6 linked regions of the Macaca mulatta genome follow. The protein of the gene in region 2 interacts with the protein of the main gene of each other region in a pairwise test. Links are inferred from orthologs where the notes say so. Each region holds a gene or a part of one and is shown on either strand. Other genes may lie near its edges.

Evidence for each region.
Region 1: the proteins of TRIM39 (region 2) and UBTD2 interact in a two-hybrid assay, tested with the Homo sapiens proteins (2 studies listed by BioGRID and IntAct). The link is inferred for Macaca mulatta from reciprocal best matches to the Homo sapiens genes TRIM39 and UBTD2.
Region 3: the proteins of TRIM39 (region 2) and PLCD4 interact in a two-hybrid assay, tested with the Homo sapiens proteins (2 studies listed by BioGRID and IntAct). The two-hybrid records come from large-scale screens. The link is inferred for Macaca mulatta from reciprocal best matches to the Homo sapiens genes TRIM39 and PLCD4.
Region 4: the proteins of TRIM39 (region 2) and UBE2K interact in binary tests that used the Homo sapiens proteins (3 or more experiments, as listed by UniProt). The link is inferred for Macaca mulatta from reciprocal best matches to the Homo sapiens genes TRIM39 and UBE2K.
Region 5: the proteins of TRIM39 (region 2) and UBTD1 interact in binary tests that used the Homo sapiens proteins (3 or more experiments, as listed by UniProt). The two-hybrid records come from large-scale screens. The link is inferred for Macaca mulatta from reciprocal best matches to the Homo sapiens genes TRIM39 and UBTD1.
Region 6: the proteins of TRIM39 (region 2) and MED18 interact in binary tests that used the Homo sapiens proteins (3 or more experiments, as listed by UniProt). The two-hybrid records come from large-scale screens. The link is inferred for Macaca mulatta from reciprocal best matches to the Homo sapiens genes TRIM39 and MED18.

The regions. Positions count from the first base shown.
Region 1 is NC_133411.1:181,147,654-181,152,746, forward strand, and holds the start of UBTD2 (ubiquitin domain-containing protein 2), read right to left. Parts: upstream 3,291-5,093; 5' UTR 3,178-3,290; coding exon 3,108-3,177; intron 1-3,107.
Region 2 is NC_133409.1:152,701,340-152,706,664, reverse strand, and holds the start of TRIM39 (E3 ubiquitin-protein ligase TRIM39), read left to right. Parts: upstream 1-2,263; 5' UTR 2,264-2,846; exon of another isoform or gene 2,847-3,416; intron 3,417-3,501; exon of another isoform or gene 3,502-3,546; intron 3,547-4,749; exon of another isoform or gene 4,750-4,769; 5' UTR 4,770-4,903; intron 4,904-5,174; 5' UTR 5,175-5,181; coding exon 5,182-5,325.
Region 3 is NC_133417.1:123,853,540-123,858,098, reverse strand, and holds part of PLCD4 (1-phosphatidylinositol 4,5-bisphosphate phosphodiesterase delta-4), read right to left. Parts: intron 1,741-4,559; 5' UTR 1,708-1,740; coding exon 1,686-1,707; intron 1,550-1,685; coding exon 1,391-1,549; intron 1-1,390. UniProt on the Homo sapiens protein: Hydrolyzes the phosphatidylinositol 4,5-bisphosphate (PIP2) to generate 2 second messenger molecules diacylglycerol (DAG) and inositol 1,4,5-trisphosphate (IP3).
Region 4 is NC_133410.1:38,909,499-38,914,743, reverse strand, and holds the start of UBE2K (ubiquitin-conjugating enzyme E2 K), read right to left. Parts: upstream 3,410-5,245; 5' UTR 3,361-3,409; coding exon 3,298-3,360; intron 1-3,297. UniProt on the Homo sapiens protein: Accepts ubiquitin from the E1 complex and catalyzes its covalent attachment to other proteins. In vitro, in the presence or in the absence of BRCA1-BARD1 E3 ubiquitin-protein ligase complex, catalyzes the synthesis of 'Lys-48'-linked polyubiquitin chains.
Region 5 is NC_133414.1:109,547,580-109,552,726, reverse strand, and holds the start of UBTD1 (ubiquitin domain-containing protein 1), read right to left. Parts: upstream 3,166-5,147; 5' UTR 2,847-3,165; coding exon 2,777-2,846; intron 1-2,776. Other genes in the region: MMS19 nucleotide excision repair protein homolog, read left to right, coding at 3,679-3,790. UniProt on the Homo sapiens protein: May be involved in the regulation of cellular senescence through a positive feedback loop with TP53. Is a TP53 downstream target gene that increases the stability of TP53 protein by promoting the ubiquitination and degradation of MDM2.
Region 6 is NC_133406.1:212,601,138-212,606,393, reverse strand, and holds the start of MED18 (mediator of RNA polymerase II transcription subunit 18), read left to right. Parts: upstream 1-1,919; 5' UTR 1,920-2,857; coding exon 2,858-2,920; intron 2,921-3,139; coding exon 3,140-3,278; intron 3,279-5,256. UniProt on the Homo sapiens protein: Component of the Mediator complex, a coactivator involved in the regulated transcription of nearly all RNA polymerase II-dependent genes.

The sequences.
Region 1 (5,093 bases), on a different chromosome or scaffold from region 2:
GGCAACACAGCAAGAGTGCATCTCAAAAAAAAAAAAAAAAAAGCAGCCTAACTACTCAAGTGGCTGAGACCAGAGGACTGCCTGTGCCCAAGAGTTCAAGGCTGCAGTAATCTATAATCATGCCACAGTACTTCAACCTGGGTGACAGAGCAAGACCCTATCTCAATAACAAAATATAAAAATAAAAGTTTTTTTTTTTATTTAAAAAAAGCCTAAGTAGCTGGAGCTCAAAAACTAAATTTTAGGCAAGGTATACGCCAGAGGAAAATACAACAATTAATTCCAAAACAGCAGATAATGCAAAGCCTAGAATGTGAATTAAGCCACTTCCACATTCTACAGTCTCTTATAAAAATCTCCCAAACTCCTTCAAAGAAGTAATACACCTAGTGAGGAAGCTTTTATTGATATATACATAATTACTTGCATACATAAGAGATGGATTCAGAGGGAAAAAGGAAAGTATAGTATTTCAAATGGTCAAAAGACTTTTTTAAAAATCTTTTTCTTACTAAGGCTGGCTGATATTTAGAAAGGGTCAAGCTATTCCAAAATGGTGATGTTTGCAAAACCCTGTGAATGTAATTATTTTGTTTATTTTTTTAAAGACAGAGTCTCACTATGTTGCCTGGGCTGGTCTCCAACTCCTGGGCTCAAGCAATCCTCCCGCCTCAGCATCCCAAAGTGCTGGGATTACAGGCCTGAGCCACCCCGCCTGGTTGGTGAATGTAATTAAACCTGTCATGAAAAGTTTAAACCCGTTATAAGAAGCATGTGAAGACTCCATGTTGATACAACAATTTTCATAACCAAATACATTCAGATTAAAAACACGGCAAAACCCGCCTCTACTAAAAATTTTAAGAAAATAAGCCGGGTGTGGTGGAATGCACCTCATGGTCCTAGTTACTCGGGGGGCTGAGGTACAAGGATCACTTGTACCAGGGAGGTCAAGGCTGCAGTGAGCTGTGATTGTGCCACTGCACTCCAGCTTGGGCGACAAAGCAAGAACCTGTCTGGAGAAACCAAACCAAGCTCCCCACAACCCCCCCAAACCTCACTCACTACCACAGTATGTTTGAAAAGCTAGGGATCTGTGCCAACACCCTCAGGAAAAAGTCTTTCCCTTCCCAACAATCTACTTAATAAGCAATAATTTTTTTATATGTTAACCTGCAACACACCTGAGTTAATTTCACTAAACCACAATTAACTCTTAATTATCACGACAATAATGGAGAATAAAAGTGTCCATAATCAAATTCCAGAAATAATCCTTTAGCCCAAGAGCCTCTTCCCCAACCCCAGTTACATCAGGGCCCATGCACTCTCTCCAAAAGAATACAAAGACGTTTGGTGGCTGATGTTCCTTTTTCTAAACTTTATGTATAGCACAGCTTATGGTCCAGAGAACTCAGTCCTCAAAGAAACTGATACTATAGCTATCTAACTGGATACCACTGGTAATAAATTACCCAAAGCTAAGATTTCACGCTTTTTAAAGCCCATATTAATAATGCCTGTCTGGTCATAAGTCACACTACCAAAAGGCTTAAATAAATTAATCCACATGCATTACCGAGAAGAACAAAATGCTTACGACAATATTAAAATGAGTGTGAAAAAAATTTAATTAAAACCAAACACTAGCTATAACAAATACTAATATATTTCAGAACCATTAATGACCACCACAACTAGAGGAAGATTCATTTTGACCCCCAATTTGACCTTAACCCAAGGCTGTTTTAAATCATGCCCTTTTTATCTTCCTGCTTTGTTGTCACTGAGGGTCTCAATGTGCCAGTAATAATGCTACGACATAAAATACACTATAAAGTAGCATTTTCATGGACTTTTTCAAGACAACTTTCACTGAGTTCTCAAGTTATTTACCCAGGATTTAGCCATACAGGATACCCATAGATTTTAATAAAGTGGCATGGCTAACCATCATGGAAGCCAGGAAATCCATCAGTCAAAAAACTTAGGTGTACATGGTTTGTGAAGAGAGCTTAAGTGACATGGCAAGCAACTGGTCTAAATGTCAGTATGCTAAGAAACAGTTGTAAACCCTCCCACACCCAAACAATTTAAAAATTTACAAACATGCACATTTTAAGGCGGCTAACATTAGGTCAAAAATCAAACCAACGCTATCATCTTTGCCTAAAGGCTGTTTATAACTAAAATATTTTACAGAATGGACGTAACCAAAGGTCAAATAAAGGTAGAACTAATTTTATTATTATACTGCCATACTACAACTACTACTGATTGAATTAAAATACCTATCCTCAGCACGCCTTTACTATAAAGTAGATGTGCGTTCCCGTGTTAGAAAACTTTTAAAGTACTAATCTTACTGGGGTAAGTCAGAGTCCAACTGCATTTGTACTTTTATCCTGCATAATTTTCCTTCTACGTAAGCCAGATGGGAATTTGATTAGCCCACCCCGACAGCACACCGGCCTAACACCCCCAAGCTCTAGCAAGAAGCCACGTTTTACCCGGGAAGACCGTTTCCCCTCCCCTCCTTAATACAATGCCTGCGGCCACTGGAGTCTCCCCCAGCCGAGCTCCAGAAACTCGCGGGTTTAAATGGCCAATTTGGAACCAACCGGGGCAGCTGTCATCTGAAACTCAGGAAAGCTGAGACCAGCCAACTCCACTGAACAAGGAAGGGTGCGGAAAGATGTGGCGGGGCCCGTTGGAGGGAACGCATCAAGCTCCCTCCCCCCGCCATCAATTTGCTTTTCCGCAACCCCGGCGCCGCCATCCTGTTTCTCAATAATTAAACGGGCTGGAGAGGGAGTGAGGTGGCCAGAAGGGCAGCTTCGGGTCCGACTTCCCCGAGCCGAGCGGAGCGATCGGCGAGGCCGAGGGCTACGTCCCCGGCGCTCAGAGGACTTTTCTTCGCAGCTGGGGCGGGAAGGGGCGATCCCCGCGGCCGGCAGGGCAGCCGGAAGCGGAGCGCGGGGAATGACGTGGAAGAGGGGATGACAAAGGGGCACGGGAGCCCGGCGGGGCCCGCGGGGGTCGGGACAGGTGGCCGGGCCTGGCCGGGAACAATGGGGGGCCGAGGCTGCCCCCTGGCGCTCACCTACCTCCGGTGCCCTCCGAGTTCTCGTTGAGGCTGCCCGAGGAGTCGTGCTGGGCGCCCACACACCCGCCCATGGGGGCCCCCGGCGCCTCGTCCGCCACCTCCGGACGCTCGTCCGGGCCGCCGCCGCCGCAGCCTCCTCCGGCGCCACCGCCGAGCTCCGGACAGGCGCGCCGCTCCGCTCGCCCGCCGCGGCCCAGCCTCCGCCCCCCTCGCCGCTCCACCCACCGCCTTGGCTCGGCCCCTTCCTCCGCGCCCACTTCTACCTCAGCCCCTGGGCCGCCCGCTCGGCAGGCCTGGCCCGCGCGCCGCCCTCGCCTTCGGCTCAGCCCCGCCAGGCCAGGGCTGGCCCATCCCGGGCGGGCCGCAGCGCCCGCCTCGCCCCCTCACAGCCCCGCACACCCGCGTCCAGGCGAGCCCCGCGCCGGCGCCTCCCGTCCGCCAGGACCCATCGGCCCCCGCCCCGCGGCGCCGCCCTCCGCACCCACGGCCTGGGCTCGGCCCGGCCCGCCCGGAATCGCCGGGGAAGGGCGGGGCCCCTGGAGGCCGCGCTCTGATTGGCTGAGGGCGGGGCTGCGGGTGGAGCGGTGCGAGGGTGAGGCGGGGGAGGGGACGCAGGGGGCTCAGTGGGGGGAGGACTGGAGGCGAGGGGAGGAGGAGAGAGGGAGGACGCGAAGAAAGGAGAGAAGGGAGGGAAAGCAGGAAAAGCCGAACAAAAGTGAGAAAAGAGGAGTGGGAAGGGGCGAAATCGAGTTCCTGGCTCCTCGGCCGTCGGTTTCTTCTTGCCGGTGGAAGCGGGTAGCACGGGGGAACCGAGAAGTAGTCGTGGAAGACTCGCAGGCGGGGACGGGGCGGTTTCCCAAATAACGGGCTCGGGGGGCCGAACGTTGAGGTCCCAGCACCTTTTGAATTTATATGGCGCTCTGTGGGTTGGTACCCCGAATCTGGGCTTCCTCTTGCCTGCCCACCCGTGTCTTCCCTAAAATCATGGGACCCCATTATTAGGGGTGGAGGCGGTAGTTGTGGCAAACCGAACTGAGATTAGAGGCGAGGCGTCCTGATGGAACGCCTGGAAAGAAGAGATAAACGCTGACCTTAGTTCAGGGGGCGTGGATTTCTTTCATTTTCACGGGATTACTGATTCAAACAATACTACTTATCAAGATCCTGCCTTTGGGTATCTTAAATCGTCCTTAGGCGAAAGTGAAGTGTAAATGAGTGAAACACCCTGCTTTTTCTAATCTAGAATTTGGGACATTGACCACGCCCAGCATTCTTGGCGGTTACTTTTCCAATCTCAGCCAAACTGTTAATGGTCCCTTTAGAATTGTGCTTCGTGCTATGATGCCTTAAAATTTTTATCATCCTGCTTGGGCCTTTCGAAAGCTTATTTCTGCCTAAGAAGCTGTTTTAACTATCTGCTCCATTTTTATGTCAGACTTTCTTTTTTTAACATCCTGGGTCAGCTTTTGCTTAGCACGAAAAAAAAAATTTTAAGTTGAAATACCTAAGAAAGAGATGTTCTGCAGCTTGGGATTTGCATTTAAATATATTCTCATACACTGCTGGTGGGAGTGTAAATTGGTTCAATCTTTTTTGCAAAGCAATTTGGCAATGCAGATCAAGAGCCTTAAAAATGTTCATATCCTTTGACTCGGGATTATTCCACATCTGGGAATCTAGCTCACAGAAATAGACCAAGATATTATACAAAGATTTAGATCTCCGTATTCATTTGATAATCAGACATTAGACAAACAAAACCTACACTTAGGTTAAAACACAGAAATGTCGTGAGATGTAGAAATCTGCTACATTAAACTCATCCTGAAGAATTAGTATTGTCCTCAGTTGTGGTCCTGAACATTCCAAAAAGAGCTTATGCAACCGATGTTTTTATGAGTTTTCAGAGGTTGCTCTGACATCAGGGGCTGTGTCACAAAGCCTTCTATCTGATCATTTTCAACTGAGTATACACGTTGGCAGACGC
Region 2 (5,325 bases):
ACTATCACTTGAAAAATACTGGATATTTCATTATTATCCTGTTGAGAGTCGGCAAACTACGGTCTACTACCTGTGTTGGTATGAGTCAAAACCTAAGAACGGTTTTTACATTTTTAAATGATTGGGGAGGGAGGGCCAGAATGCAAGGGGAGTATTTCATGACATTTGAAAACGTTATTAAATTCAAATTTTAGCATCCATAATAAAGTTTTATTGGAACACAGCCATGCTCATTTGGCTTTTGTTTTTGGAGACAGAGTATGGCTGTTGCCAAGGCTGGAGGGCGGTGGCAAGATCTCGGCTCACTGCAACCTCTGACTCCTGCGTTCAAGCGATTCTCACGCCTCAGCCTCCCAAGCAGCTGGGATTACAGGTGCGCGCCACACGCCCGGATAATTTTTGTATTTTTAGTAGAGACAGCGTTTCGCTATGTTGGCCAGGCTGGTCTCAAACTCCTGACCTCAGGTGATCCACCCGCCTCGGCCTCCCAAAGTGCTAGGATTACAGGCGTGAGCCACCGCGCCCAGCCTTCATTTAGTATTGTCTAATGATGTTTTCATACTCCAAGAAGAAAGTTCAGTATGGACCACAAAGCCAAAAAGATGTCCTCTCTGGCTCTACAGCAAAGATTTGCCAAGCCCTGTTATATGTCATACTATTTGCGCTTCATAATTTTATAGTTTTACCTAGGCAGTCTCCATTTTTTCCTTCCATATTCAGCGTAAAATCCCCGTTTTTTTTTTTTTTTTGGAGACGGAGTCTCGCTCTGTCGCCCAGGCTGGAGTGCAGTGGCCGGATCTCAGCTCACTGCAAGCTCCGCCTTCCGGGTTTACGCCATTCTCCTGCCTCAGCCTCCCGAGTAGCTGGGACTACAGGCGCCCGCCACCTCGCCCGGCTAGTTTTTTTGTATTTTTTAGTAGAGACGGGGTTTCACTGTGTTAGCCAGGATGGTCTCGATCTCCTGACCTCGTGATCCGCCCGTCTCGGCCTCCCAAAGTGCTGGGATTACAGGCTTGAGCCACCGCGCCCGGCCCGTAAAATCCCCTTAATATCAGTCTCTAGGAAAGCTCATTCTTCATAATCCTTAGAATTGGACCTCCTCTTGTTAATTTCCTTAGTCTAATCACAATCCTCCTGGTTATTTACAAACCGAACGCCAGAAAGGAGGGTTATCAACATCTTATGCGCCACAAATTAACAAATCAAAACCAAATCTCACTCTCCCTCCGAAGCCAAGGCTAAGGAGGCTCACCGCCCAGTTAGTGGCTTTCAAACTACCCTTACAAGTGAGGCATCTTGTGAATTAGAACAACTGCTGCTGCTAAAATCCCTAATGGCTACATAGCAATGTGAAAAAAAGGTATCAAATGTAATTTTCTCAAATTTAATCCTCTTCAATTGTTGGCACAAAAAAAGGAATAATAAAGGTAGACAACTGTAATTAGCATGTGTGATCCCAAATCTTTATACCTTAGATACTGGATATTTTCTACAAGTAAATAGTTTCTGGCTCCCAAGATGAGAGGTTAAATAATGCAGGGTGTTTGTAAACAGCAGCACAACTTACACCGGAAATTAGGGCACTTTCTCACCAAGGAGAGTACATCAAAATTTGCTCATCTCTTTCAATCAATGTTCTCCAGGACTAGTGCTGGGGGCGGGGAGGCGGAGCAAGCTATCTTTTCTACCAGCCGTGTCACACCCCTCCTAGCACTAACCCCTCCTCCTCAGCCTCTTCACACCTCTACCCACTACTAACCCCTCCCCAGCCCCATCACCGCTTCCCGGGCCCCTGACACCTCTCCCAGCATACTCTTCCTGGCCTCATCACCTCACCCACTTCCTCCAAAATCACAGGACCTGCTAAGCTTCCAGCAGCAAGCGAGCAAAGCAGGGAGGCTGTAATGTAAAAGTCCGCAGTCCCTACACAAACACTATCTGCTCCTGCGGAGAAACTCAAGTCACAGCCCCAGAAGAAAGAACAGGCCTGGGCTCTCACCCAGTTAACCAGCGTTTATCCAGCGCACGTGTTGCGGTCGGACCCCATGCGAAGGAGCTAAGGACACAAAGGTGAGCAGCAGAGTCGCGGTTCCAGCTCTCTCCCGGCTCCCACTCCAGCGGGGTAGGTAGATAATTTCGGTAAACTTCGCCAAGCAGGGGCAGGACAAAGAGTATTTGAAGTCTACCCGGGGGAGAACTTACCTAATCCTTGAATGTTAAAAGGCTAAAACTCCACCAGTCGGAAGTGACGTGCCAGCTGAGCCCCGCAGGTCCGCCACGTAATTGGCCGCCGCCACAGCTAGCCACCCTCTCCCCGGACTGGCCCGAAGAGAGGAAAAGTGTGGAAGTCCACAAGCCGCCCTCGCCCCGCCCTCTTCGTCGACTTTCAGCTGCACTGGGGAGCGGCGGCGCCTGGCCAGAGCCGGGGCCTGGAGCCTGGACGGGACAGCCTCGCCGGCCGGGGCGCCCGTCCAGCGCCCTGCGGGCCATGGGCTTCAGCGCTCGAGCACGCGCATGCGCGGGCCTCTATCTCCAGAGGATTCCTCGGGTCACCTGGACGCCAGCATCTCAGCCACCTGCCCCTCTGGGTCCCTTCTTGTCCTTGATTCCTCCTGCTGGTTCTCATCGCCAGCCCTCCTCCACCTCCTCCTTCCGCAGCCACCGCTAGACCCGGCCGCTGCTGCCTGCCGACACCCCAGCTTCCACTGACACGAGCCTCGGCGCGGCTTCCGCTTCCGGCGAGTATTGTGTGTCGCGCCGCGGGGCGGGGGCGAGGGGAGGAGGAAGGAGGGAGGCAGCGCTCCGGCGGCTCCGCGCCCCGCACTCCCGGACCCGAAGCCGGGAAGGTAGGTGCTGTCCCGCCGCCGCGCCCGAGTCTGGGGCCTGCCCCCGCCGGCCGGCTCCGCAAGTCGCGTCCCAGCGCCCCGCGACTGCGTCACCGGCCCCCCGCACGTAACCACAGCTGCCTCCGCCCGCCTCGGGCCCGGGCGGACGTTTTGCCGCCCCGGCGACGTCAGCGCGTCCGGCGTTGCTTGGCTACCCCGCCGTTCCCCCGTCCCGCTGCTGCTCACCTCCCCGGGTGAAACTCTGACGCAGTCACCGCGGGTCTCGGCTGCGTCATAGCGGCGGGCATCCCACCTTCACGTCACACCTCTTCCTCACCTGGACACGCATCCCTCCCTACCCTGCCAGCAACGACGTTTCCTCTTTCCCCTCTCCAATCCCCCTGCCCCAGATCTGGCGGAAGAAAATGGAGACGGGGGTGGGACAGAGTTGTGGACAACCTCTCAGGACAGGGTCGCAAGGTGGGACCCTGAACAGTGGTTTAAACAAAATGAGATCGTCCCTGAAGTTTGCCCTTCAGCTGAGACACAAGGAGTAGAGGGAGACGAAGGACTAACCCAGAGGCACTCAAGGTCTCACTATGACTGTAGTTTAGAGTCCTCTCCATTCTTCCCGAACCCTTTCCCCATTTCTTTCACCACTTCTTTGCCAGTCTAGATCTGTCCTGGTGCCTTACTGTGCATACAGTTCTACTCATCTCAGGTGAGGAGGCCACCTAATTTGTAAAAGACTGAGGAAGGGGTAGGGTCACCACAAGTCAAAGTTGGATTTCCACAGGTAGAGAGAAATCATCTGATTGAACTTCTCTCCTATTGCTGACAGAAAAAATTCAAGTCCAAAGAAGTTATCAGCTCCTACTCCAAACACATTTGTGTGTGCCAACAATATATACAGGAACAATTGTTGTTAACCTACCTCATTACATGGCCACTTATCTCTCAGCACATAGATTTACCAAATTTCCTTCCTTCCAGTAGGTCCCTAGAGAAGGATGGGGGTCAGGAGGAGAAAGGGTTATGGGGATAGATACATCAACTTACCCATGGCTAAAAGTATCGACGTTTTAAGATGGAGTGGGGGACCAGCGTTGTGTTTTATAAATCTCTCTTATGCATTTCCAATTCTTCTGAGGCTGCACTTGAGGGAGATCTCATTGCCTCTTTTCTGTCTCTTAATTCCCAACCACTCCAGAACCTGTTAGTTGGAGACACAGTATGCCCAGGATGTTAGTTATCAATAGTTATATTGAAGGATTCCAGTCACTATAAATAGACTTGTTTCTTTACAAGAAGTTGTTGGCCTGAGCTCAGTAATGTACTATTTAATATAGTTGCCATAATTTATCAGTTTTCAGCAGTTCTGAGTGTCCAAATGAACACAATAGAAATGGAATGTTGCATGAAATATGTTATTCCAAGAAGAGAGCAGACTTCCTTTAGGCTAGTCTGATGGATAAAAGGAAGAATAATTTCAGATTTTCCTGGAAAGAGAAGGTTGCCTTTGCTTCATTCATTCCATTTGTTAGCCTTTAGAACACTGGTATCTAACCTTTTGAATGGGAGGACTCTTTTTACTTATCTGTGGTGGCTGATAAAACAAAAATTATGCATGGACCTTTTGTGGTGGCTGATAGAACAAAAGTTATGCATGGACTTCTTTTTTTTTTAGCTTATCAGCTGTCATTAGTGTCAATGTATTTTATGTCTGGCCCAAGATACTTTTTTTTCCAATGGGCCCAGGGAAGCCAAAAGATTGGATACTGTGGTTTAGAAGAATGAGAGAACAGTGTCAGAGAATCAAGCTTAGACTCCAGTGGATTCATCATAAAGCCCTTATAACATTAAACTTTAAAATATGCTTAATTTAAGAAATGTTAATATTTTTATGACATTTTTTACTTCTCAGATTCCTTTCTTATCTATTAGAAACGTATGTCAAACGAGGATACAGTGGTCTGGAACTATTGGTTCTAAGATACAAGTGGAATGAACCTGGATCAGGAGAAGTATGCTGAGCTAGAGTTGAAGGAAGCTGCTCTTTCTAACAAGAGAAAGCAGAGGTAAGAGACAAGATAGATAAATTGGGGGTTGTGTGTCAGTTTACTAACAAGAAAAAAAGGTTAATGGCTGGGAGTCACAAGTTTTGGAAATGGAGAAACAAAGAGATTGAATTGATTGAAAGAGAAGATGGAGAATAACAAGATTGGGCAAATCTGGAGTTAGGACTTAACAGGGATAAATGTTGGGCCAGGGATGCAAAAAAAAAAAAAAAAAAAAAAAACACCTCCAATTAATATTTTTATTTTTTCTGTCCTCTTCCCCACTCCCAAGTTAAATTATGGCAGAGACAAGTCTGTTAGAGGCTGGGGCCTCTGCAGCCTCTACAGCTGCGGCTTTGGAGAACTTACAGGTGGAGGCAAGCTGCTCTGTGTGCCTGGAGTATCTGAAGGAACCTGTCATCATTGAGTGTGGGCACAACTTC
Region 3 (4,559 bases), on a different chromosome or scaffold from region 2:
CAGTTATACTAAAGCATTATATCCCTAAGTCCAGTTCTCCCATTCCAGGTTTGAGGGCTTCCTCTTTCCAGATGTCTACGAGGGAATCAGAGAAATTCTTTCACCCTCTTACCTCAGCTGGGGGTGGTACGGATTGTGAGCAATTTGTCTCTAAAACAGACTCTCTTAGATGTGTCCTGTGATCAAATTATTTCCTGTTATTATAAAGAGTTCGGCCAATAAGTGCACACTACTTTGTTTTGTTTTTTGTTTTATTTTGTTTTTTGAGACCAAGTTTTGCTCTTGTCACCCAGGCTGGAGTGCAATGGCACAATCTAGGCTCACTGTAACCTCTGCCTCCTGGGTTCAAGCGATTCTCTGGCCTCAGCCTTCCGAGTAGCTGGGACTACAGGTGCCTGCCACCAAGCCCGGCTAATTTTTGTATTTTTAGTAGAGATGGGTTTTCACCATGTTGGCCAGGCTGGTCTCAAACTCCTGACCTCAAGTGACCTGCCTGCCTCGGCCTCCCAAAGTGCTGGGATTACAGGCATGATCCACCACACCTGGCTGCAATTTTGTATTTAAAAATATTTATCATGATGGCTAACATTTATTAAATGCATTCTGGTTTTACATCGCATGCTAAGTGTTTTACATGTTAACTAATTGAGTCCTTGTAACCTACTGTTTAATCCCCATTTTACAGATGAGGAAACTGAAGCTTGATGTATGTATGTATGTATGTATGTATACATGTATTTTTTTAGAGACAGGGTCTCACTCACCCAGGTGGAGTGCAGTGGTGTGATCACAGCTCACTGCAGTCTCAACCTCCTGGGCTCAAGTGATCCTGCCATCTTAGCCTCCCAAATAGCTGAGACCACAGGCGTACAGCACCACACCTGGCTAATTTTTTATTTTTATTTTTTATAGAGACAGGCTCTCCCTATGTTATCCAGGCTGGTCTTGAACTTCTGGTCTCAAGCAGTCCCCCTGCCTCGACCTCCCAAATTGCTGGGATTACAGGCATTGAGCCACCAGGCCCAGCCATAGCTTAACTACTTGATTTTCCACAGCTACTCAGAAAGTGGCAGAGCTAGGGCTTTAATTCAGGCAGGCTGATGCCCAAGATGATGGTCTTATAATAATAATAACAAGATGTAACCAATGATTTATTATGTTTTACTATGTTCCAGTACTCTCCTGAGCCTTTTAGATAGAATAACTAATTTAATCCTCATTACAGCCTTATGAGGCAAGTAGTGTTATGATCTCTTTTTACAGGCTCAGATATAGCCACAATTAGGACAGCACAAACGCACACCATCATAGGACTTTGGTCCCTCCCCTGCCAGGCTCCTCAGGACTCTATCCACCCATATATCCACCCCCCACTATCCAGGTCACTCACAGCTGGGCTTGGCACTGCCCCTGGCCTGCCGTGCATGCCAGACTGTCATGCCGTCATTCTGAAGTCTGAAGTATCTTAGCTTCTTCCAGCTTTTGGACCTCACCTTGCGCATCGGCATGCCTTCCTGCATCAGCAGCAAGTCCTGATCAGTGGTCAGCCCTAGGTCAGGAAAAGCAGGGGTTAGGTAGCCAGCAGAGAGGGTAGCAGGCCCAGGGAAAGCTCTCAAACAGGGGTCCAGCCTCCTTCCCTTCCCTGAGCTATATGCTAAGCCCTTTTCCCCTGCAGGGACACTCACGGTCTTGCAGCAGGGATGCCATCACCCACTGTTCCACCGGCTGGCACCAGATCACCTAAAGGAGAAAGGAAGAGCAAAGGACTCTGGGTGAATCTTAAAGATAGTCTGTAGCTGATTTTTGCTTCTGATTTTGAGTTTAGTGACTCTGAGACTTTAGATAGGTCTAGAAACCTGCCTCAAATCACATAAGGATCAGAATTTAAATCAAGATATGTCTGATCCCAGAGCCTCCGCTATTTCTCATGGCTATCTTCAGAGAAGGCTAAACCAAAGAGTCCACCAAGCACCCCCTTCCTACCCAATAACCCACAGTCTACTAGTGCCACATTTTGCTCACTCCCCACCCTCTCATTATTAGGAACTAACATCTTGTTGGATGTCCCTTTCAGAAACTAGAATCTCTTCACATCCTAGCCTTCTTATTTCCAGGTAGAATCCTTCCAGCTTCCCTATTCTGGGAGCCCTCTCTATGCTCCCACGTAGACTGTCCAGCTCCTGAGGCGACTAGCGCAGACTTTTTTTTTTTTTTTTTTTGAGATGGAGTGTCGCTCTGTTGCCCAGGCTGGAGTGCAGTGGTGCGATCTCAGCTCACTGCAACTCCCGGGTTCAAGTGATTCTCCTGCCTCGGTCTCCCAATTAGCTAGGACTACAGGCATGTGCCGCCACGCCTGGCTAATTTTTTGTACTTTTAGTAGAGATGGGGTTTCACCACGTTAGCCAGGATGGTCTCAATCTCCTGACCTCGTGATCCACCCACCTTGGCCTCCCAAAGTGCTGGGATTACAGGTGTGAGCTACTACACCTGGCCAGACTTTCTTTTTTCTCTTTGACAATATTTAGTTGTCTTCTTCTACCTTCACATGGTAAAGCATATTTTATACTTTTTCTTTACAGTTATTCTCACAGTTTTTTTTGTTTTTGTTTTTGTTTTTTTTGAGATGGAGTCTCACTCTGTCGCCCAGGTTGGAGTGCAGTGGCCGGATCTCAGCTCACTGCAAGCTCCGCCTCCCGGGTTCACGCCATTCTCCTGCCTCAGCCTCCCGAGTAGCTGGGACTACAGGCACCCGCCACCTCGCCCGGCTAGTTTTTTTGTATTTTTTTAGTAGAGACGGGGTTTCACTGGGTTAGCCAGGATGGTCTCAATCTCCTGACCTCGTGATCCACCCGTCTCGGCCTCCCAAAGTGCTGGGATTACAGGCTTGAGCCACCGCGCCCGGCCCCTATTCTCACAGTTTTAATGGACCAAATAAGTTATACAAGTCTCAGAAACACATTTTCAAATTTTCTCTACCTACCAAAAAAGGGTACCTCTTATAAGATATATGCTGTCAGCCAGGTGCGGTGGCTCATGCCTGTAATCCCAGCAATTTGGGAGGCCGAGGCTAGCGGATCACCAGAGGTCAGGAGTTTGAGACCAGCCTGGCCAACATGGCAAAACCCCATCTCTACTAGAAATACAAAAAACTTAGCCAGGCGTGGTGGCAGGCACCTTTAATCCCAGCTACTTGGGAGGCTGAGGCAGGAGAATTGCTTGAACCAGGTGGCAGAGGTTGGCAGTGAGCCAAGATCGTGCCATGCACTCCAGCCTGGGCGACACAGTGAGACTCCGTCTCAATAAAAAGAAGAAAAAAACCAGTTAGGGCCGGGCGCGGTGGCTCACGCCTGTAATCTCAGCACTTTGGGAGGCCGAGGCGGGTGGATCACAAGGTCAGGAGATCGAGACCATCCTGGCTAACACGGTGAAACCCCGTCTCCACTAAAAATACAAAAAATTAGGCAGGCGTGGTGGCGGGCGCCTGTAGTCCCAGGTACTCGGGAGGCTGAGGCAGGAGAATTGCTTGAACCTGGGAGGTGGAGGTTGCAGTGAGCTGAGATCATGCCACTGCACTCCAGCCTGGGTGACAGAGCAAGACTCTGTCTCAAAAAAAAGAAAAAAAAAAAAAGAAAAAGAAAAAAAAGATATATGCTGTGAAATATAGGACCTGGTTAAGTTGTCCTAGTAGCTGACAACAAACTTCCCTTGAAAAGGACTAGAAAATTTGATTGTGGCCACGCTGATTCTAGTTATGCCCCTATAGAAATATTCAATTCTTGGTTGGGCACAGTGGCTCAGACTGTAATCCCAGCACTTTGAGAGGTTGAAGAGGGAGGATTGCTTGGGCCCAGAAGTTCAAGACCAGCATGGACAACATAGTGAGACCTCCATCTCTACAAAGAATTTTTAAAAATTAGCCAAGTGTGGTGGTATACACCTGTGGTCCCAGCTACTTGGGAGGCTGAGGTGGGAGGCTCGCTTGAGTCCAGGAGGTTGAGGCTGCAGTGAGCTGAGATTACACCACGGAGCTCCAGCCTGGGCGACAGAGCAAGACTGTCTCAAAAAAAACAAAAACCAAAAACCAAAATTCAGGTCATGCTGAAACTGACAAATCTCATAAAATGTAAAGCTCTATGCTTTTGTGTAAGCAAATAACCTACATTTGAATAGAAATATGTTGTGTGTTTCTTTTTTTAAAAGGGTATCACTACCTGAAAAATGTTATGTTCCTTTTTTTTTATTTTTTCTTTTTTTTGAGACAGAGTTTTGCTCTTATTGCCCAGGCTGGAGTGCAATGGCACAATCTTGGCTCGTTGCAACCTCCACCTCCCGGGTTCAAGCGACTCTCCCGCCTCAGCCTCCTAAGTAGCTGGGATTACAGGTGCCCATCACCACACCCAGCTAATTTTTTATATCTTTAATAGAGATGGGGTTTCACCATGTTGGCCAGGCTGGTCTCAAACACCTGACCTCAGGTGATCTGCCCGCCTTGACCTCCCAAAGTGCTGGAATGACATGTACGAGCCACCTTGCCCGGCCATGTTCCTTAATTTAAAAGT
Region 4 (5,245 bases), on a different chromosome or scaffold from region 2:
CCTTTAACCAGTAATACAAACCAGGCTCGATTTTTTAAGTTAATTAAAAGCATGCCTATCCTTGGCAAGTCATGACAGCGTGGTACAATATGAACACAAGCTGACCTAGATCCAAATCCCAGGCTCTGTGTTTGCAAACAAATAATTTAACTTCTCTAAATCTCTATTTTTCTCATCTAGGAAATAGAAAATCTAAAGAACTATTCTTAAGAATTAGCAATAACGTATAAACAAACAACACTAAGAACAACTAGCCATTCTACAAATGACAACTAGTTATTAACAGCAGCAATAACTAATAGTAAATAATACAACCTATGAATAAAACATTGATTATGGGTTTATATCCTCACAATAAACAATTTACTAATGTAATCCTACTCATAAATTATAAAATGTAATCCTACTCATAAATTATAAAACGTACTTTACATCAATATTCCATGCCTAACAACTTTGGAATATTATTTAAAACTGCTTAAAATTCACACTCGTATTTAAAAACAAACATCTAAAACAAAGAAAATAAATATTAATAAATAAAAAGAAACATCTGACAAATTTCCAAACACTGTCTGAAGGGAAAGAGGCCAACTGGTGCCTTTGAGTAAATCACATTCGTATGACACAAAATTAAAAAAATATCTATACCCCATGCCCCAGAGACCCAATTTTTCTACACAGAAAGCAATCAATTTTACCAATTTCTTGTGAAACCTTTTGCCTATAAAGACAAATACACATATTCCCCTCTTTTTAACACAAATGGTGGCTTCTTCCACACTATTCTGCATCTTGCTTTTCACATTTATCTTGTTGGCTGTATTTTAATTAACACACTCTAAGAATGGTCACTTATAATCTCTCATAACCAGAATCCAGTAAGCGTCAGCTATCTTTACAAAGGCACTTACAAGGCCACCCCAAAAAGTCCTTAAATCAACCAGTGTTCTTAGTAAACGCAAGCATACAAGCACATGAAATAAATTTTGGTAAAGTGCAGATTTACCAAAAAAGTGACATGATGAAATATTTATTTGATCAGCCATTCAAAAGACTGGATTTACACCCTTAAAAAGGAAACACACGGACTATACTACAAGTCTTCAATGAGTTGAAAATAATCCACTTATAGAACTGGGGCTACTAAAATATCAAAAAATACTGGCGAAAATAAGCTATTTATTGGTTATATTTATTGCAAGATTAAATGATGTGACTCTTTCCTAAATGTTCTTTGCAACTGATTTTCCCAAAAGAAGTTTCCTTCCATATTTATACAGGTACTGTTCTAAACAACACAAAACAAACAAAAAACCTGTCTGCATTTCCTGTTTTCTTCTTCTGAAACACTTTTGATGCTTATCTGAAGTAAGGCTTCCTCATCCCTTATGTATAAAGAGCAGTGTTTTTTTGTTTGTTTGTTTGTTTGTTTTAACAATATGCATTACTAGAGAGCAATACAAGTATTTCTGGTAATCTTCAACTTAAGTACTACGAATCTCACAGTGAAAAGTGAGCTCATAAAAAGCAAAGAGACCATATTAATTACCAAAGCAGTAACTTACCACTTGTAACAGAAAATAAAGCACTAAAAGTCTATTAAGTTTCAGGCTTGTACAACCTTATTAAACAAGAAATGTTTTAGGTTGTTGGCAACAATATTAGCTGCTATCTTTCATTAGGAGTATGTATGTCAGCTAACCTGGAATACATTTTCATATTAAATAAGTTAAAATTGCTGTTTCACTGTATCAGTACAGACACTTATTGACTCTATTTCTGCGCTGTACCACAAAATACAAAGTCATCCTTCCATTCAGAGTTTTGGCATATGAACACAGAGGTCAGAGTTCATACACATGCTCTGTAAAACCGATCATGACTTACATACTACTACTTTCAATAAGTCTGTTGTCATTTTTGAATTTTAAATAATTTTTCTCCATGTATACTCATCACATATTTAGAATGCTGAATTTCACAAATCATTATTGACACTATCAAAGTACTAACCGTAAAAGAAAAACAAAAATAGCAATGATATATTCAATAATGGTATGTGAATCTTGAAAATAATCATTTTCTGTATTACTTTTTGTTTAATTCATGTGGGGAAGACAATCTGGCATTCTTGTTCATCTTGGTACGACACACTGTACTAATACTTGCATAATTTTGAGTCAAATTACTAGAGCATTGTGAATATCTTACATAAACGTAGTACTAATGTATATAAATTCTGCAGAACTTAAGAGCAATGGCAGGCAATTTTTTTGAAAATCTGTTAAGTCGTGATAAATCTACTCAATAAGGAGATGAAATAATGTATTAATCTGGTGAAATCTCACATTTTTAATAGGTCTACTTTTCAAAAGTAAGAATCAAGTTACCTATGAGGGACATCATAATGAAGTTTCGTGGCACAACACGAGTCACAGAGGCACTGTCTTAGGACAGTCTGATCGGTAACTTGTAAACAATATTTTGAAATAAACTACTCATACAACCCATTATTTTTTTCCTAACTAAAAATATTTACATGTCTTTAATACACCAAACACCTCGCCTTTGCCCACTCAAAAAAGATTGTGATGTCAATAAAAATGAGGCCTACGAATTTGGGGGTTAAGTGGAAGACATAATTATCTCGTTTGGAATAACTTGCTAACTCAGGTGAAAATTCCCTTACCCCCGCCACCAAATAAGACAGTATTCTATTATGTCTCCCTTTGACTCCTAACACCCAACTAAGAAGGACTAACTCTGAATGTCCTTCCTTTCTAATCAATACCTTTGGACTCACCGCTCCTCCCCTACGAAAAGAACAGTGAAGGCCTGACAAGCAATAACCCCAAATACCCTCAAAAGTGTGGGCCTTTGAGCAGCACTGCTCTTCGTATCCAGTTACCACCTTTCCCCTTCCCCCAACCCACTTCCCGGGTTTTCTCAGGCTCGGCCTGCTCCCTCCCCACCCCACAGCCACATTTCCAGCTGTGGCCACCGCCTCGGGTTCTCTCGTGAGCTTCCATCCCTCCGAGGAGCTCCCCCCTGTCCATCAGCTCCCCAAACCGTGTTCCACCCCAGACCACCCGCCCGCGAGACCGTTCATCCTAGCGCTCTGGGAGGGGAGGGGAAGGCGGCGGAAGGAGGAGGGGAACACTGCTGCTTCCTCACAGGCAGAAGGGCGGCCGCAAGGAGGGCCACCCAGGGACTACCGAGGATATCGGGGTCGCAGCTGGGAGGACCCTCCCGCTCCAGGCAGAGATGGGGGATATCCGGGAGTTCATTTCTGACCTCCTCGCTCTTCAGCACCTCCTTGAACTCCCGCTTGATTCGCTGCACCGCGATGTTGGCCATGTCTCCGCCCGCAGCTGATTCGTACCCGCCTCCTCCGCCACCGCTACGACCACCGCCACCGCCGCCACCTCTTCCTCCACCGCCTCCTCCCCCGGCGATTCAGACCCGAGCACACGAACACTGCCACTACCACCCCGGCCGCCGCGCTCGCCTCAGTGTGGAATCACCTCCGCGCCCGGCCACCAAAATGGCGCCGGGTCGGCGCATGCGCACGACGCTGACCCGGCCGGGCGGCGCAGCCGCTCCCGTTGTAGCCCCCATACGCCCGAGCCACGAGCTCGCGTCTCGGCTGGGGCTGCGGCCGCGTGGCTCCGCCCTGCCGGCGTCTGGGGCCGCTAGGGCGCGGCTTCCAAGGTGGCCGGCCGTAGCCTGCCCGCCCGGTCCTACCCGGCGCCTCCGCTCCTGTTTAAACCCAGGTGCTGTGGTCGGGGCTTCCAGCGCTGGCCTCTGACCGAAGGTTCGCGCGCAGCCGAACGGGTTCCCGAAGCCGCACTCGGCTGGAACGCCGCCCTGACTCAGCTAGACCCGGAACCCGGAGGCTGAACGCCGTGTCTAGCGCAGGAAAACGCTCTCGCGGATCTCGGTCCGGCCCATTTTCAGTTGGTGTAGCCCCAGAAAATCCACTGCAGTCGTTTTTGTTCTGCAACATTTATAGTACCACGATTATTCCCATCATCTCAGGTAGCACAGATTATCGAATTAAGGCTGGTTATTGTTGGATCAGATTGGGTTTGAGACAGGTACTCGGTGGAGAGGCCTGAGGGTGGGTTTACAAGTCAGATGTTGATCTTTGACCTATTTAATACCGAGCTTGACACACACACACTCTCTGTCACACACACACACCACACACACACACACTCCTGTGCCCATCCCTAGAGTGTGGAGCGGGCCTAAGACTGCGTTTCTAACAAGTCTCCCAGTTGCTGCTGCTGTTGGTGCTGGTTCGGGGACCACACTATGAGAACCACTGAACTGAAGCGTGTGAAAATTCATATATATTAAATTGAAAACTGGAGAAATAGAAATTATAGTGCCCTTCAGGGGACTGGGATGGGGGAGGGGGAGCCTTATTTCTGTAAACCTAGGCCTACAAAGGTGCTTGGTGATAGTAGGCACTCTATAAATATTGAATGTGTAAATGAGTACAGATAAGAGTAAAACGCTTTTGCTGGCGCGGCGGATCACTTGCAGTCAGGAGTCCGAGACCAGCCTGGCCAACATAGTGAAACCCCGTCTCTACTAAAAATACAAAAATCAGACAGGTGTGGTGGCAGGCGCCTGTAATCCCGGCTATTCTGGAGGCTGAGGCAGGAAAATCGCTTGAACCTGGGGGGCGCAGGTTGCAGTGAGCGAGATCGCGCTACTGCACTACATACAGCCTGGGCCACAGAGCAAGTTTATGTCTCAAACAATACAAAACAAAAAGTATAAAATATTTTAAGTAGAAAGTAAGTTTGAAAGTGGTTTCTGGTCGGGCGCGGTGGCTTATGCCTGTAATCCCAGCACTTTGGGAGACCTAGTCGGGGCAGATCACTTGAGCCCAGGAGTTGGAGACCAGCCTGAGCCCCATGGTGAAATCCTATCTCTAAAGATAATAATTTTTAGAAAAGGAAGTGGTTTCTAAGGTGCATAGTAATAATGGTTTGGTACTGAGAAACATTTTGAATAGAACATTTTGGAACAAGTAATAAGGGTGTCATTTTAGAAGTTTATACTTCATGCACTTCCTTCACCTAGCCAATCAGTAAAATATCTATTATAAAAATATCACAAAGGCCGGGCGCGGTGGCTCAAGCCTGTAATCCCAGCACTTTGGGAGGCCGAGACGGGCGGATCACGAGGTCAGGAGCTCGAGACCATCCTGGCTAACACGGTGAAACCC
Region 5 (5,147 bases), on a different chromosome or scaffold from region 2:
CTATATGAGTGAGACATATACACAAGGATAAGACAGAACCCAGGTCTTCGAGGCTTGCAATGTAGTTGCTGATAAAAGACTGTAAACATCAAAGACACAACTAATAATACGGAGTACATAATTGTTAAGTAAGTGGCATAGATAATGTGTCTGCAGGAGTTCTCAGAAGGAGCAATCACTTCCACCGGGTGTGTGTGGTGGGGTGCGGAGGGAGGGGGAAATGGCAGACTTGTCAGGCAAGGTGCTTCAAACAAGACACGGCACTTGAAGTGAACCCAAGGGATGAAACACTCTCAATAAGAAGGAAATGGCACGAGCAAACACTGGTGGTCTTAATGTCAGAGAAGGGAAAGAAATTAGGACTTAAAAGGAACGGCCTTGACAGTTAAAGTACTTGTAGGAGTGGGAAAGTGCAGAAAGGTGTTTGTTGTTGTTGTTGTTGTTTTGGGTTTTTTTGAGATGGAGTCTCGCTCTGTCACCCAGGCTGGAGTGCAGTGGCGCAATCTGGGCTCACTACAACCTCTGCCTTCCAGTTCAAGCAATTCTCCCTGCCTCAGCCTCCTGAGCAGCTGGGATTACCGGCGCCTGCCACCACGCCTGGCTAATTTTTATATTTTTAGTAGAGACAGGGTTTTGCCATGTTGGCCAGGCTGGTCTCCAACTCCTGACCTCAGGTGATCTGCCTGCCTTGGCCTCCCAAAGTGCTGGATTACAGGTGTGAGCCACCATGCCTGGCCAAGTACAGAAATATTTTGAACACAGAACTATAAAATCTGGAAGAAGTTATTTTAGCAAATGTCTTCTGAGGGGACAACTCTGTGTAGGACTGGATAATGACTGAAGATGAAGTTGCCTTTGGGGGGTACCTCACTTCAGCCTGAGACAAGGGTTGACTTGAGGTGAGAAGGGTATGAAGTGGGGTGGCAAGGGACAGGTTCGCAAGACCTGCGGAAGGAAGAGCCAGCAGACCCCAGGGACTGGCTGGCTTCGAGGCAGGTGACAAGGAAGCAGAGAAAGTCATGAGAGAGAGAGCTCTTCACAGCCTAAAGTTAGGCAGCTGGAAGAACATGAGTAAAGAAGGAAAGCTGCTGGACAGGGAACAATACAGAGCCTGATTTTGGAAGTGTCAAATCTGGGAATATCTATATCGCAGTGTCCAGTGGCCATCTAGAGATGGGGTTCTGGGGTTCAAGAGAGAAGAGCTGAAGATTAAGCATAGGGGTCTTCCCAATGGACAAAGAGTTGTGAGACTAAACAAGATTTCTCTGGGAGGGAGTGTAATGAGAGAAAAAACAGAATGTCAAACTGAAGCACCAGTGCGCCCCCCACCTAGAAGGTGATGGTGGAAAGGGGTGTTTAGAATGGAAAACCAAGACAGTCTGATGCCAAGAAAGGAAGGGGGAGAATGTCTCATGGGAGAGAGTTGTCAACAGCAAAAAATGCTGCTAAATCAATTATGGGGACTGAACACATATTTGTTGAACAAATGAATGAATGAAAGCAAGCCAGTCCTTGGTTTTGAGTCATCTCTCCTCAGTCAGAAGAATGGGCAGAGTTACCTTCAGACAAAAGAATTTCAATAAGTTTTACTCCATCCTTCCCATAAAAACACATTTCTTCCTCCACAAGTCATCCTGTCCACCACGCAGACATCCTTCCCTGCTTCCCCTGGTTCCCTCATCTTCCTTCCCAGTTTCCGCAACCCAAGCAACACACCTTCGGTGTCAAGGGAGACAGGAAACTCCAACTAGAGTTTCCACTTCATTAACAACTCTGCCTGTGGCTCCTCTTACATAAGGGGATATGTGGCAATGGGGTGGGAGAGGAGGCTGAGTTCTAGCCCCAGCTGTGCTCCTAACTAGCTGTGTGACTTTGGACAAGGTGCTCAACCTCTTGGGATCTGGGCTTTGACATGGAGAGGAGGACAAAGATCCATCTGGAATCCAGATAAGTTTTGAAGGTCCCTTTGAGCTCTCAAGTCTACGATTTTATTCCCAGCAGGTCCTTGCAACACCCTCAAAGAAGGAAGTGAGTGTAAGACCCAGAAAAATGACCTACAGACCTCTTTCCGGGGCGAAATGCCAGGGCAGGCGGGGTGTACCATGAAAGTGAGAAAGCGTTGTCCCGGCCTCGAGAATCACCAGCGAGCGATCTCACTCCCACAGCTAGGAAGGATCCCAACAATTCCGAGGGTGAATCTCACCCCGCACCCCATCTTTTATAGACTCCCAGACGACCGAGAGGCTCTAAAAACCCCTGCGGGAAAAATAAAGATTTCTTTCCCAGAGTCCTGCGCTGCTTTGCAAGTCGGATTCCGGCAGACACGATCTGCAGCCCGATAATGACACAGTCTTTGGAAGGAGCGACTGTTCTCGCCCCGCTCGCTCCAAGTTCTGGGGACGCCTGGCTGCCCGCGCCGTGCCCCGACGGGCCGGTGTCCGACCCCGGCCGGAGCTGCCAGGCCAGCGGCGCCCTCGCCCCGGGCCCTCCCCCCAATCCGTCGGCCCCGCTGCGGTCTGCAAACATTTCCTGCCCCCACCCCCACCAGGAGCTTCCCAGTTGGAGAGAGTTGGTCGCGCAGCCGGCTCAGTGCTCGCAGTTGCCCCAACTCAGCTCGCCCGGCGCTGGGGAGCGGCCCCGTCTGGTTGCGGAGCAGGCTATCGGGGAAACCCAAGCGCCAGCACCAGTGGGGAGTCTATCGGTAAGCCTAGAGCTCGGGCGAGGAGGGGGACAACTGGCGGGGTGCCCGAGGCCCTGCTCCCTTCCCCGTCGTTACCTGCTCGCTTGCGGGGGTGTCCCGGGGCTGCCGGCCTCTCCCGCCGCTGTCTCCCCACGCAGTTGCCCATGCTGGCTCCTCAGCCAGTCCCCATGCACCGGAGGCGGCGAGGTGGTCGGCTGCTCCGCGCTCCTGCCCCGGACGGCGGCGTCCCGGGTCAACGGCTCCGGCCGCCCGGCATCTGGCGCTCCCCGATCTCCCCCCGGGGGCGCGCTCAGCCCCGGCGCTGGCTCCGCCAAAACTTTGCGGGCCAGGGGAGAGAGGGAGGTGGCAGACTCCCTAGCACAGTCCCAGGTGGCCGGGCCAGGGGGGCCCGCGACGGTGCCCGGCCGGAGACCAGCTCCGCTGGAGGGGCGGAGAGAGGGGGCGGGCACCGCCGCAGCTACTCCCGGTCGCTCGGGGCTCCAGGCAGGGGCCGGCCCCCTGGAGCCTGTCACTCACCTGCCTAACCCCGCCCCAGGCCGGCCCCGCTCCCCACCGCCGGCTCGCGGTGCCCGCGCCGCCGCCACCACCCGCCCCAGGTGCGCATGTGACCGACAGCACCGCCCCCTCGGGCTGGGCCTGATTTTCTCATTGGCTTCCCCCGTGGTGCGTACCGCCCCTCTCCCCACCCAGCCAGGTGCCCGCCCCGCCGCCCGTCTCCCGGGGAGCCGGGCCGGGAATTATTCGCCCTCAATGGCCTCCGGCTGCGTGCCCAGCAGCCGCCTTCCCTCTCGGTGCCGCCGCCCCATTCCAGGCCCCGCCCCTCCCTGGAACTGCCTGGCTAGAAGCCGGTAGGCACGTGACCCGGTGCGCCCCGCCCCCTTGGCCTTCTCCCCGCGATTGCCTCGGGAGGCGCATGCGCGGAGAGGCCCGTCTCTTGCCACCGCCCATATCCCCTCCCACGGTCTCTTGTTCGCGTCATGGCCGCCGCCGCGGCTCTGGAGGCGGCGGCGCCTACGGGCGCCCTATGGGGCCTCGTGCACGACTTCGTCATGGGTCAACAAGAGGGCCCCGCTGACCAGGTGGCTGCAGGTACGGCAGACGGCGCCGCGCGCCTTCCGCATGGGGGCCAACAGGAGGGAGCGGCCTCGGTACAGGCGCCGGGCGGGAAAGGAGGAGCGGGTGACTTTGAGAGATTGGTCTCAAGGCTGGTTAGTGAGCACCGCGAGCTTCAGAGCCGTAACAAGTTGGAGAGTTGCCTGTGTCTTCCTTAAAACCATTTACACTTTTCATCTCCCTATAGCCAATTATAGGGAATTATTACATTTTACAGATGAGGAAACTGAGGCTCAGCGAGGGCAAGAGGACTTGCGCAGGGCTGCAGACAAGGCAGGAGGGGGAGCTGGGACTCGGACCCAGGCGTTCACGTCCGAACCGGGTGCTCAAGCCACGAAGCCACGCTGTTTGTGGGAGGTTGACGTGTGGAGGTGCATCCTCGCAGCGTCCGCTCCCGTCGCGTGGCATCCTGGGAGTGGCGGATGGCCCCGCGCTCTGACTGGCTGGAATTAAGAGGAGGCGAGGAGTCGGGCCAGGAGGAGCTGGAGATGTTCTGGGTGTCCTCCTTAAGACTTTCTCTCCGTTTCTTGCCAAAGTTCTTGATTAGTTTGCTCCATGACGTTTTATGTGGCGTTTGTTTTTATCTTCTTCCCAGACCCCCACTTGCCTGCTTTTGACAAGTTCAGAGATCTCTTAGTTCAGACAGCTTATCTAAAATTAGAATAAAACAATTTCCAGGCTTCCGTGGAGTTCTGAGACTTTGCTCTTCTAGGAAAAAAAAGTCTACTAAAAAGTTATTGAATGTTAGGAAGGCTTCAGATCTTGGGTTTAAGTAACAATATAAAATTGTCTAATGGGTAGTTTAAAAAATTTTGGAAATTTCGCATGCTTGGAGAGAAGTAAGGACACATTTCTCTTGCAAACTGAGCGTATTAACCTTTAGAATGTGTAAGAAAAGAATAGTGAATCTGCTGGAAATAAAATACTTTGTTCGTTAGCAGTATTCCACTTTGATTCAGTCATGCCACTATTGTTGAACACATATTATTTCCCAAACATGATGCAAAGCCTAAGGAATATAAATACAAATTAGGTTAGATCTGTGCCCACCGGAAACTTATAGTATGCTGGGAGAGGCAACTATTCTATAAGAGGGATGTGCAGGGTAATTTGGAAGCATCAAGGAGCAAATACCTGGTGCTGCCACCAAACAACATCTTACAATTTTATGAAATGTAGTGTGTTACCAGTGTTTACAATTTACAAGTACAGTGTCTTAATAATGTCGTTTTCCCTCATGTTTTATTATGAAAATTTTCAAATATCCAGCCAAGTATAAAGAATTTTATAAGGAATACATCACTTAGGATCTATCCTACCATTAACATTTTAA
Region 6 (5,256 bases), on a different chromosome or scaffold from region 2:
TCTTTCCCCTGAACTTTGCCATTTGGGTGTCCCATAGACACCTGATGCTCAATGTGTCTACATATGAACTCATCTTTCCTGTCTCACCCACACTGCTCTGTGTTTTCTAGCTTAGAGAAAAAAAGTGCTGCAATAGCCACCCAAGGTAGAAATCTGGGCATTTGTGACTCCTTCATCTCTCTGCCTCTACCTCTGGTTAGTCATTAAAGAATTCTTTTACATATATATATATATATATATATATATATATATATATATATATATATTTTTTTTTTTAGGACAGAGTCTTGCTCTGTTGCCCAGGCTGGAGTGCAGTGGCACGATGTTGGCTCACTGCAACCTCCGCCTCCTGGGTTCAAGCGATTTTGGTGCCTCAGCCACCTGAGTAGCTGGGACTACAGGCGTGTTCCACCATGCCCGGCTAATTTCCTCTTTTACATTTTTAAAATCTTTTTCTGACAGTTGTTTCTCAGCCGGAGTTGTACTAAAGCGCCTAACTGGTCTTTTTTCTTTAATTTTTTTCCAGACAGGATCTCCCTCTGTTGCACAGGCTGGAGTGCAGTGGCACTACCTCAGCTCACCACAACCTCTGCCTCCTGGGCTCAAGCAATCCTCCCACCTCAGCCTCCCAAGTAGCTGGGACTGCAGGTACAAGCCACTACGTTCAGTTAATTTTTGTATTTTTTGTAGAGACAGGGTTTCACCATGTTGTTCAGGCTGGTCTTAATTCCTGAGCTCAAGCTATCTGCCCGCCTTGGCCTCCCAAAGTGCTGGGATTACAGGCCTGAGCCACCATGTCCCGCCTGGTCATTTTTCTCTAGGCTCTCTCCTTTCCCAAACTTTTCTCCATGTTGCAACCAGGGTTCTTTTAAAGCTCACACGTGTTCTTTTAGTCTGGCACTGCAGAGTACTCCTGGATCTGGACCTACTCCTTTTCCGGACTTTTAAATTTTTATTTATTATTTATTTATTTATTTATTTGAGACAGAGCCTCTCTCTGTATCCCAGGCTACAGTGCAGTGGGCGATCTCGGTTCGCTGCAACTTCTGCCTCCCACGTTCAAGCGATTCGCCCACCTCAGCTTCCCTAGTAACTGCGATTACAGGCGCGTGCCACCATGTCCGGCTAATTTTTGTATTTTTAATAGAGACGGGGTTTTACCATCTTGGCCAGGCTGGTCTCAAACTCGTGATCTCAAGTGATCCACCTGCCTCGGCCTCCCAAAGTGCTGGGGTTACAGGCGTGAGCCACCGCGCCCTCAGTTCATTTTTCTTTTTAAGCCCATTATAGTCTCTGTAAGTCCTATCAGTTCCAAGAGACTTTCTGCACAAATACATCTCCAGGTTGTCAAACCTAAAAATATTTTCCTAGAGGATGGCCTGTGACGTCAAGGCGCCAGGTAGACCCCGGAGGAAAGCTCCAAAGGAGGCCGCCATCTTTCTTACAGCAGCCCGGCATTTTGCGCATGCGCTTCTGATTGTCTGTCCGCAATGACGCTCTTCGGCCTTCTCGGCACCCATACGTTTGGGAACGGCAGTTTCGAGGTTTGTGAGACTTCGGCTTCCGACCGGAAGTGAGAAGAGCAGGAAGTTGGCTGGTTCCACCGGTCTGGGGGCTTCCCGGGCTCCGGTAACCGGAGGACTGGGATCTAATCGTCGCTCAAAGGCTCCTAGGTGCGCGGGTGCATATAATTCCCGACTTCTCGAGAAGACACTAGAGCCTCAAGGAGGTGTGCTTCTAGTGTTTAAGTGGACACGTGTTGTGGATGCTGGCTTAGAAGGACCTATATACCATCATTTTAAAATAACTTCCTCTTGGCTCTCTCTTTTTTTTTGAGACGGAGTTTCGCTCTTGTTGCACAGGCTGGAGTGCAACGGCGCGATCTGAGCTCACCACAACCTCGCCTTCCGGGTTCAAGCGATTCTGCTGCGTCAGCCTCCCGAGTAGCTGGGATTGCAGGCGCTCGCCACCAGGCCTAGCTAATTTTTTGTATTTTTAGTAGAGACGGAGTTTCTTAATGTTGGTCAGGCTGGTCTCGAACTCCCAACCTCCGGTTGATCCGCCGGCCTCGGCCTCCCAAAGTGCTGGGATTACAGGTGTGAGAAACCGCGCCTGGCCTTGGCTCTCTTTAAAAGGCATTTTTAGGCTAGCCGCAGTGACTCTCCCTCCTGTAGTCCCAGCTACTCGGGAGGCTGAGGTGGGAGGATCGCTTGAGCCCAGGAGTTCGAGGTTATAGTGAACTAGGAACTCCCCCACTGCACTCCATCCTGGGCTACAGAGCGAGATCCTGTCACCAAAAAAGAAAAGGGTATGGGGGAAAGGCATTTTCAGAGCGATGGAATGCCTAGATTCTAGTTTGGTCCCAACTCTGCTACCAAGTTGCTGTGTGTATCCTGTCCCTCTCTGAGTCTCAATGTCCTCATCTATAAAAATGAAGGTCCCTTAAGACACTTTTCAGTTCTTCTGAATTTTGTTGCCTCTTTATTATCTCGTTTGAGCCACATAACCTTGGGAGTTAAAAATCATTGGCCTTTGGCCGGGCGTGGTGGCTCACGCCTATAATGCCAGCACTTTGGGAGGCCGACTCACCTGAGGATCATCTGAGGCCAGGAGTTCAAGGCCAACCTGGCCAACATGACAAAACTCTGTCTCTACTAAAAATGTAAAAAAAAATTAGCCGGGTATGGTTGTGGGTGCCTGTAATCCCAGCTACTCGGGAAGCTGAGGCAGGAGAATCGCTTGAACCTGGGAGGCGGAGGCTGCAGTGAACAGAGATTGCACCATTGCACTCCAGCCTGAGCGACAAGAGTGAAACTCTGTCTCAAAAAAAAAAAAAAAAAATTGCTGGTCTCATTTTATGAGGAAGATACTGAGTCCCAGGGTGAGGGGTTATAGACAGGACTTTCTCAAGATTGCACAGGTAACTTGGAGGTTTCAGAACTTGAGACTAGAAGGCAATGCTGTAACTCCATGACCAGATCTCCTTTTTATATTTCTGTATCATCAGTTCCTGGAACTGGCCATGTAAGACACTGAAATGTTTTTAAATGAATGAATCTTTTGATTTGAAGGCCAGTGCCACAACAGATTTGGTCTCTCTCGACTACTCTGATGTATAAACAAGTGAACTCTTTTCCAGGTATATCCCGTGCCTTACCTGACTGGGGGCTCTGAGTCCAGTTGTGTTGTCTTCAACTTAGACACCATGGAGGCACCTCCAGTCACCATGATGCCTGTCACTGGGGGCACCATTAACATGATGGAGTACCTATTGCAGGGTAAGTGAACCAGGGAACTTGGATTACCTGTTTTCCTCTTCTCTGTTCAGCTTCCCTTAAGATGAGAGACAACACAAAAGCAGCCTGCACAGTTTCTGGCACCCAACTATGTTTTTAACTGTTACTTTAAATTACAGTTTTACATGCACTAAACATATTAAATCTGCCATCTTGGCTGGGTGCAGTGACTCACGCGTGTAATCCGAGCACTTTGGGAAGCCGAGGCGGGTGGATCACGAGGTCAGGAGATTGAGACCATCCTGGCTAACACGGTGAAACCCCGTCTCTACTAAAAATACAGAAAGAAATTAGTCCGGCGTGGTGGCGGGTGCCTGTAGTCCCAGCTACTTGGGAGGCTGAGGCAGGACAATGGTGCAAGCCTGGGAGGCGGAGATTGCAGTGAGCCGAGATCGCGACACTGCACTCCAGCCTGGGCGACAGAACGAGACTCTGTCTCAAAAAAAAAAAAAACCTTAACATATTTAAGTGTACTGTTCAGTATTGTTAAGTATATTAACATTGCTGAACAACAGATCTTTAGAACTTTGGTTTATTGTGAGTAGCTTGAAAAAATACTTAGTACAACTGTTTTTTTCTTTGAGACAGAGTCTCGATCGGTCACCCAGGCTGCAATGCAGTGGCATGATAACAGCTCATGCAACCTCCACTTCCCGGTTCAGTGGATTCTTGTATTTCAGCCCCCCGAATAGCTGGGATTGCAGGCGTGCATCACCATGCCCGGCTAGTTTTTGTATTTTTAGTAGAGAGTTGCAGTTTCATTATGTTGGCCAAACTGATCTTGAACTCTTGCCTTCAAGTGATACACTTGCCTTGGCCTCCCAAAGTGCTAGGATTACAGGGATGAGCCGCCACGCCCAGCCTAAAATGCTTGTTTATCATCCTATAAAACTGCAACTCTTTACCCCTTAAACACTAATTCCCACTCCCCTCTATGCCAAACCCTCAGCAGCTATCTTTCTAGGTCCTGTTTCTCTGATTTTTTTTTTTTTTAAGATGGATTCTCACTCTGTTGCCCAGGATGGAGCACAGTGGTGCAATCTCAGCTTACTGCAGCCTCCACCTCCCAGGTTCAAGCAATTCTCCTGCCTCAGCCTCCTAAGTAGCGGGGTTACAGGCGTGAACCACCATGGCTAGCTAATGTTTGTATTTTTAGTAGAGACGGGGTTTCTCCACGTTGGCCAGGCTGGTCTTGAACTCCTGACCTCAGGTGATCCACCTGCCTTGGTCTCCCAAAGTGCTGGGATTACAGGCGTGAGCCACTGCGCCAGGCCAGATTTTGTCAACAAGTATCTGAATATGTTCCAAACATTTGAGCCATAGCCATGGAGGGAGAAAGATGACTAAAAAATAATGTATGTCAAGCCAGCTATTACAGGCTTATGACTGTAATTCCAGTCGTTTGGGAGGCTAAGGCTGCAGTATTGCTTGAGTTCAGGAATTCAGGATCAGTCTGGACAACATAGCAAGAACTCACCTCTACTAAAAATAAAGAAAACTTAGCTGGGCATGGTGGTATGTACCTGTAGTCCGAACTACTTGGGAGGCTGAGGTGGGAGGATCACTTGAACCCCCAAGATGGGGGCTGCAAAGAGTTATAATCTCGCCACTGCTCTATAGCCTGGAGACAGAGTGAGACCCTATCTAAACAACAACAACAACAACAACAAATCTATGCCATAAAAATAAAGCAGGAAAGTGGCTAGAGATTGGTAGGACACATACTATTTTATTAGGGTGATCAGAAAAGGCCCTGATGATAAAGTCACTTGAGCAGACCTGATAAAAGTGATAGAGTAGACATGCAGATCGGAAGAACATCCTAAGCATAGAGAATAGGGGAAGGGGTCTGGCAGGAAGGTCACTCCTGAAGATAATGATCAAGGGGAAGAATAGAAGGAGATGTTGTTTGGCAGGTAGCAGAGACCATAATATGTAGGGCTTTGTCAACAATGGTAAA